Linked DNA regions of Neurospora crassa OR74A. The protein of the gene in region 2 interacts with the protein of the main gene of each other region in a biochemical or structural test. Links are inferred from orthologs where the notes say so. Each region holds a gene or a part of one and is shown on either strand. Other genes may lie near its edges.

The links.
Region 1: of the proteins of NCU00681 (region 2) and NCU06404, one has a biochemical effect on the other in vitro, tested with the Saccharomyces cerevisiae proteins (2 studies listed by BioGRID). The link is inferred for Neurospora crassa OR74A from reciprocal best matches to the Saccharomyces cerevisiae genes MDR1 and SEC4.

Annotation. Positions count from the first base shown.
Region 1 is NC_026504.1:2,622,515-2,627,972, reverse strand, and holds NCU06404 (GTP-binding protein), read left to right. Parts: upstream 1-2,264; 5' UTR 2,265-2,932; coding exon 2,933-2,962; intron 2,963-3,092; coding exon 3,093-3,360; intron 3,361-3,571; coding exon 3,572-3,891; 3' UTR 3,892-4,758; downstream 4,759-5,458. Other genes in the region: NCU06403 (hypothetical protein), read left to right, coding at 1-558, 624-970. UniProt on the Saccharomyces cerevisiae protein: Involved in exocytosis. Maybe by regulating the binding and fusion of secretory vesicles with the cell surface. The GTP-bound form of SEC4 may interact with an effector, thereby stimulating its activity and leading to exocytotic fusion.
Region 2 is NC_026501.1:7,577,825-7,580,757, reverse strand, and holds the end of NCU00681 (GTPase activating protein), read right to left. Parts: coding exon 834-2,933; 3' UTR 501-833; downstream 1-500. Other genes in the region: NCU00680 (2-methylcitrate dehydratase), read left to right, coding at 1-266.

The DNA.
Region 1 (5,458 bases), on a different chromosome or scaffold from region 2:
TTGTTCGGTACTGGCTCCCCACTCTGGCTTTGCTCGTGTCCTCTCCAACCATTTTGTACGTCCTCGTCAAGAGGCGCGACAGCATCATCGACTGGATTCAGAACCTCGGCATTACCGTTCGTGACTTTTGGTTCAATTGGGTCATCGAACCCATCCGCAAGGTCATCGGCACCATCCGCCATGACACCAACAGCGAGATTGCCATCATGAGCCGCGACAGTCTCAAGGCGGACAGGGAGAGTCTGGAACGCATGGTGGTCGAGTTCACGCTGGATAACCCCAGTGTGGCCGTCGGGTCGCCCAACGTTACCGACCTCCAGATTGCTGATATCCGTGCAAAGGTCAGGGAGGGAGATGTTACGCCTATCTTGAAGGCTTATGAGAAGGGCCTCCGTCGTCCCTTGGTCGGCGCCGTCAGCGGTGACCTGGTCCGCTCGCTGCTGATCCAAGTGCAGAAGACCAAGGTGGATTTAGAGGTGGCTATCAGTGGTATCGACTCGCTTCTCAAGAGCCAGGAATTGCTCTTTGGGTTTGTCGGTCTGGCGCCCGGGGTTGTTGGTAAGTTATTTTGCTCGACTCTTGTCTGAGAAACGTTGAATGCCACTGCTAACTCTCAAATACAGTCTCCATCGGCATCGTCCAATACCTCAGGACCGTCTTTGGCAGCCGCAAGGGACTCCGCAGAGGAGAAAAGGTTCGTCGTATCGTCAGGGTACTCAGAAACATGGACAGAATCCTGGCTGCGGGCGCTACCAATCCCAAGGGCGGGCTCAAGTACAAGGACCGCGGGCTGTTGCTTTGCGAGGCGCATGTGCTGCGCGAACTCGCTACTGAAGTGCTCCCTGGAGACATCCGGCGCGAGTTCCTGGAGGATCTGGAGGATTTGACGAGTGTGAAGAATGTCGTTCTTCAAGAAAAGGCTCTGCAGAGGATTCGGTGGGCATACGCCGATTGGCTGGGCAAGAAATAGATGGCTGTCAGAGTTTCATCAATCCTCTATCCCGAGATCCCCAGCGCGGGAGTTGGTGAATGGCGGTAAGCGTTTTGTATTGTTAGTTGGGCTGTGATGTGATATGATCAGTGTACTTTAGTAAATAGCGACTAGATCTTCCATGATTCTTCTGTTTGTATGAAATAGCTATAAGGACTTGGAGTTTTGAGAATGCACGGGGGAGATGGTGCCGGTGATATGGCAGAGGTGAGCAGGTGCAGGAAGTACCGGGCCTAAACACCAAAACAGAGTTGTCTACTAACCCCTTAAACACGGTGGATACCTACCTACCTATGTGCCTATAGGCGGCGACGTTTAGTCCACGTAGTGTGAAAACACCCCACGGGCATGTTGCTGGACTTTTTCACGCTTCACGCAGGGGCATAACCAGGGTGCAGGGTCACCCAGGGGCCGCCTTTCGTGTGGCGGGAGGGCAGGAAAAGGCTTTGGTGGAAGAGATCATTGGGCCAATATGAGTTATAGATCCATCAACGGATACTGCGTCTCGTGCGTATAGACTGTTCACCGCCCTGCCCGCCTTTCTCACCATGTTGCTGTGAGACCGCCCAGTCGCCTGTGTCTGCAGCTTCAGCTGGCCTTTCACGATACTCCATTTTGTTGAAGAAGCCAAGAAAACCCCTTAATCAACTTTCCTGGTAAAACAAACAAATAAAGACAGCTGGTCTTCTGTTGGATGCGCGAATGAACGGATGGTCTCGTTTGGTCTCGAGGCTCACCTTCTTCCGCGACCTCAGATATTAGTGGCAGAGCTCCCTCCCTGGTTCCTGAATCTTGGGTTGCATTCGTTGAGAGTGCAGTTGAGTTGTCTCTTTCTCACTCCGGTTTCCTAGACACTTTGCGCCATGCACAACAACTTGTCCTTCGAGCTCATCCTGTCATTCATAACACATTGGTATCTCTATCTACTGCAAGGTTGAAAGGGACACAAAGAATGGAATATCAGGTGGAGTTGTTGCGGCGATTGTAGGTTCTAGAAACTTGACCGATTACGTACCGAACAGTCGCGTCCCCTAGACCACGATCACGCGCTGCAATAAGCGTTCTTCCACTAGAGTGGAGGTACAGGTGTAAAGGGCACAGATAACCCCCCATCCCATACATAGTGTAGCCCGCGACTCGGTAGCACTTCAGGCAAGTGCGTCAACCCTCACATTGTACCTCTATGGTGGTGATCGCGTTGCCCGGGCTCTGGACTTCCACTTGCCCTGCGCTTTGGGACCCAGGTTAGCATTGATTAGATAGTATCAGACATCAGGGGCATCTGAGACATTCCAGTTTTCTTGGTTCCTTCCTCTCCACGCAGGGAGGTCTTGGACAAGTGGAAGCTACAAGACCCCTTTCTGCCTTCCCCGTCCTCGTCATTGTTCGCCTTTCCATTGGATCTCCGCACGGCATCGCCCCGTAAAGTTGGAGGGAGAGAGAGCCCAGGTACGCACTGCCCGCAGCCCAGTAGCCGGCCAGCCAAGTCTACCTTAGTGCAGGAGTAGGAGACCCCATCGCGCTCTCGCCTGTTTGTTCGTTCTGCGACTCCTCCTCCGCTGGACTACTACCTAACCCGTGCAACCGCCCTGCAGTTTTGACAGGCCCGTCAACGTCGCACTGCGGACACGCTTTCAACTACCACCACCACTGCATTCCACCACCACTCACTCACTCACCTACACTACCTACCTACAACTGAACATCATTCCTGCTCTGTCGCCTGTTTCCTGAACTGCGCATCGTCACCACCATTCGAGCCTCCAGTCTCCATCCCCATTCCCTTTCCCGCAACTACCAGTGTACAACAGCCCGACGATTTCGAAACGCCGGATTTCGATTGATATCCCCTTTGCCGAATTCCGGAGTCCGAACTACCAGAGAAACATTCCAAGAGATCGAAACGACGGGCGGCGGCGTTAACCCCCACACCAGTTCATCATGTCGAGTAACAGGAATTACGATTTTCTGGTGAGTCTTTCCTTCACCTCACCGCTCGCACTCTCGCGACATTCCTTGTGTTCCCCCCCTCCCCCGTAGTGGGTTTGGCGAGGTTATTCTGTTTCCAGACGCTGACCGGAGATACCGCTTCACGACATAGATCAAGCTGCTCTTGATCGGAGACTCGGGCGTTGGCAAGTCCTGCTGTCTGTTGCGCTTTAGCGAAGACTCATTCACACCGTCATTTATCACCACCATCGGTATCGACTTCAAGATCCGCACAATCGAACTCGATGGCAAGCGGGTGAAGCTACAGATATGGGATACCGCCGGTCAAGAGCGTTTCCGTACCATCACGACGGCATACTACAGAGGCGCCATGGGCATTCTTCTCGTTTACGACGTGACGGATGAAAGGTCATTCAACAGTACGTGAACCCACATTCCCATCCCGCATAAAATGGCATGACAGTTGCGGTCAAGAGGTGGTCCTTGAGGTCACGCTCGAAATGCGATGGATTGGTGCCTTTTAGATGCCATGCCTCTCCATTGCTCCGGATTCTGGCATCAGCAATCTCCCATCGGATACCATGCCATGTATTACCTCGCTCCTTTGCTGACGTGACCTTCTCTTCGCAGATATCCGTACCTGGTTCGCCAACGTGGAGCAACACGCGACGGAAGGAGTCAACAAGATTCTCATTGGAAACAAGTGCGACTGGGAGGAAAAGAGGGCGGTTTCCAAGGAACAAGGCCAAGCGCTAGCCGACGAGCTTGGCATTCCCTTCCTCGAGGTTTCGGCCAAGGCGAACATCAACATCGAAGAGGCCTTCTTCAGCCTCGCCAACGACATCAAGAAGCGCATCATCGACACATCCGGCAAAGAGGCGTCTGGCGGCTCGTCGGGCGTGAACGTCAGCGACAACAGCGGGTCAGGATCCGGCGGCAAGTGCTGTTAAGCCAAACGGGTAGCAGTTGTGTGGCGGCGAAACCCGACCCTGGAGCTCGCAAAAAAAAAAAAAAAAAAGCCCGCTGACAATCACGATGGCGATACGAGATCCGATTTATCCTCCCGAAGTATGGATGACAGCAGTCTGGCCTCATTCAGTTCTATTTGGCTACAGCCTACGTCTATCGAACATGCACCTGTCTTCCTGCGGGCCACCAATATGCACGGCCGGGTCTACCGCATGGAAACAAAGAGGCGGTGTAGGGGAGAAAGAGGGTATCTTCGGTCTCAAGACTTTACTATGGTTGTAATGAAGCTAAGGTCCAAGAGGAAAAGACGGCTTTAGTTATTCTGGAGGGCTCATTGAAAACCCCTTTCTTGTCACTCGGGAGCAGGAGGGAGAAGCGGCGCGGAAGATACGACGCGTGCTCATTTCCGGCTTCTCGCTATTGGGTCTATTATTATTGCGCTCTAGAAGCAGTGGATGGTAGGATGGATAGGCTAGGGAGCTGAGGACATCAACGACGATACGGAGACATGTGAGTATTACGACCGGCTTGATCGATATAGATGGATTGAGGTTGGGTTGGCAGCATGGACGAGGGGCAGAGAGCGAAACGAAACATTCTGGTCACGGAGTTTGGGTGCGATCTTTGGCTCTTCCTAATATATTTCATTTTCTTCTCTCTTGACTGTTTCCCCTTTGTTGTTCTCTTTCTGGTTTGTAGATTTCGTGCGCGGCCCCCCTTATAGCTGTATCTCCAAAGTATGACGATACGACACCCATAAAACAAAACATAGATAGATATTCCCTGAAAAGATGGGGACGCCCTGGTCAACCATGGCTAGTGTAGAGTATCAAGACGTATGACGTGAGCGATAACATTGTTGACATGAGCCACGAATCCACAAGAGGTGCTCTTTTACTCTTTCGGGAAACGAGCACAAAGAACGGGATAGATGTGGTCTGTGCGTTGCTCAACTTCCACTTGTCGGTCCCTTCGGTCTGACTGTTTACATAGTGCCGAGGAAGCCACCACTGCACTGCGGCATGCCACCACGCTCACTACAGGACCCATACTCGAGGGTGATGGGTGCCTTCTGGCTCTGGGCGCCAAGGCTCTTCCACCCCCTCCCTATAGGAGAGGGGGTGGATAAAATATGGGATAGTAAATTAATTTGGGACAGTAGCGAAATATACTATGTAGATTCGCCAATTAACGCCCTGTAAAATCACTCTTTTATATTGTAATATTCGCGCAACGACATTATTACCTTGTGACTACATTTCGCATTCCTATCGCCTTAAAGCTATAAAATAGTAAGAATCTATATATCTATAGATTAATAGAGAATAGCTATTAACTTACTATACTAATAACTAACAGACTCCCCGACCCCGCTAGTTTATCTAGTACCTATACCTATTTAGCTTCACAAAAACAGCGAAACCCCTCATCAATCAGAATTATTGCGGCATATACTAGGTAATCTCGTATATCTATCACTCGTTATACAAAGTTGTTACGTAAGGAGGGTAGAACCGCTATATCGACTCGTCCGCGGGATCGACTATA
Region 2 (2,933 bases):
TCTCCAACGGTCTCACCGTCGAACTGAACGATGGCACCTTCCTTGACGAGGTCGTCGTCGAGGCGCCCCTCGGCCACCGCCTCCGTCGCGAGGAGGCCAAGCCCCATATCCTGGCCAAGTACAAGCGTCACTTGGAGCCCCACTTCAGCGCCGACAAGGTTGAGAAGCTGGTTGCTCTTGGCCAGAACCCTAAGGAGTTGGAGGCTATGTCGGTTGATGAGTATGTTGATCTTTATGTCAACGAGAAGAGCGAGTTTGCTCAGTAAATGTGTGGCTTTGTTTGACTGGAGCAGAGAGGAAAAAGGAGGGGACGTTGTGCATTATATAGAAGCGATCTTTGGTGTGCTTAGAATGGCGTGAAATGAATATACCATTTTTTTTCTTTTTTGGTTTACATGTATCGTTCTGGTCTTCATACTGGCTGGTGATTCAAAGAAAGGGATTGTGAACTGTATCCTCTGTGGGAACTCACTTCATACTCAATCACAAACATCATTACTGGGACTGATATGATTGTCACCTATTGTAAAACTAAGAAAATGCCTAAAATGAAAAAGAAAAAAAAAACCCTTCAGAATGATGACCTCCTTGCCAGTTACAATAACCAAAAAGACACGTTGAACCAAACTCCCTAGTAAGTTTGCGGACCTAGTAGACTAAAGGCAAAACAAAAAACAAAAACAGAAGACGGTTGAGCCCTTCATATGACCTGGCAATAATACCCCATGCACAATCCACAGTAAAGTATACCTCTTAAGATGCCTGAACCACGCACAGAAACCCCAACAAAAGGGGCCACCATAATGTCAAATCATGTTCTTGTCCAACGGTTCCTAACCGTCAAACTCGACGCCCACAACCTTGGCCGTACCACCGACATTCGCTTCATCTCCTCCTCCCAAACTACCACCACTCCCTTGTTGCAGCTGAGCCTCAGCAGTAGGATCACTAGCCTCTGCATCCGCCCCCGTCAATAAATCTCTATCCGAACTCCTCACTCCTCCACTTCTCATCCCCGCCGCCGACCCTCCCGCGCCGCCAGAACCATTCCCATTACCGCCAAGCGACAACCCTTCAACAGGCCCCCCATCATCCTCGTCATCATCGTCATCATCGCCACCACCACGATTCGCGCCGCCCGGCTTGTGCTGCCCTGGCAGCGCATTCTTCTCCAGCTCTCTCTGCGCCTCCTCCATGCGCCTCCTCACCTCCGCCGCGACACGCATTCCATCCGTGACGATATTGTCCAGTACGCCTCTTAGACCGCGTCCGGCACCTGCTCCTCCCTGCTGGCTGTTTGCTCCGCCGGCGCCGCCGAAGAAGCCCATGTGGGAGAAGGTGCTTCCTAGACCGCCCACGCCGTAGGACGACGAGGCGGCGTTGGAAGAGTTGCCGCTAGACATGTTGATGCCCTCTACGAGGTGGAACGAGCACGGGAAGGATGACTCGAAAAATTGCTCGAGGAGCTCGTCGGCCAGGACGACCATGCGGAAGGTGGGCAGGGTGATGTGCAAAGGGTTGTTGGGGTCGAGGGCGATGTTGGCCTTTTCCGACTGCTGGCGCGAGACGCGGCGGCGGCGGTCTTCGTCGTTGTTGGAGATGGACGAGGGCGCGGTGGATGGGTCGAGATGCAGCGAGGATGGCGGTTGCAGGCTCGAAGTGGCGGTGTCCTCGGAGCGCTTGGCTGGGCGCGGGCTGGCGATTGGGGAGTCCATGGCTAGGAGATCGTCATCGTTCTCTTCGTCAAAGTCGTCGTCGTCGTCACCAATGGCAAAGGCATCAGGGTCTGCCAAGCCCTGGGCGGCATCGTCGTCATCAATGGAGATCAGGTTTTCTTCCTGACGAGACGTCGTCTGTTGTTGTGGTGGTTGCTGGCTGTTTTGGTTGTTGGGATGGTCTGGGTCTGCGTACTCAAAGCACCTCCTGATAAATGCACTGACGCTCCCGAGAAATCTCTCGTTAACAGATTGGTCGGGCACTTCATTTCCAGGGGTCACCATGCCCTCAGTCATCATCCCGTTAGGTGCTGTTGCACGATCCAGTGTACCCTCCAATCCCCGACGTGATAGAAAGAGCAAAGCCTCGGACATGCGCAATATGCCTTCACGATCAACCTTGCCGTCTCCATCATCGTCATGCAGTTCAAAGAAGTAGTTAATCGTTCCCATGATATCACGCTTTCCTTTGATGCGGGCCAAGCCAGTAACGACGTTCTGGAGGGTGAGCGCGGAGCTGGAATCAAAGTCCCATTTCCTGAACAGCCTTTGGAGGAACTCGTGATCTGCTGGTTCAGGACCATTGCCCCAAGGAGACATGGATGATTCGTTCTTCCGGAAACTGTTGTAGAACCCTCCCCCGTTACTGGAACCCGTGTCACGGCGAGACTGAGTGGGGGAGTCCGAAACAGCCCACTTAGCGATACCCGCGAGGAACTCTCTGAAGGCATCGTAATCCATCAGGCTTGTGCTCGGGCCCAGCCCAACTCGCCCCTTTTCAACATTCCCCTCGTCCACCACTTGGCCGATTCTCGATATCCTGTTGCTCTTGGCTCTCCTTGCCTCTTCCTGCTTGATGATGAGATCCCGTTGCTGCCTCTCGTACAACACACCGTAAAACCTATCGTATACCGCACCGAGCTCATCGGTGCTAAGAAGCTTGCTTTCCGGGCCCAGGTTCCGAATGGCCGTCCGTTTGGCAAAGCTCTCAATGTTGTTCAACACTGCGTCCTTGTTCTTGAGGCGCAGCTCTGTGATGGTGCTGTGTGTGATGCCAGAGAATTCCTTGAATGCCACCACCATTAACTCCTGAAACCTGGTAACAGCTCTCAGCTTCGGATTCTCCGACTTGGGGTGTGCCGACTCATCCAGCCGAGCAAAATAATTCTTTAATACCGAGATGAAGGCACCGTCGTCAGAGGCATCCAGTAGCTCCTC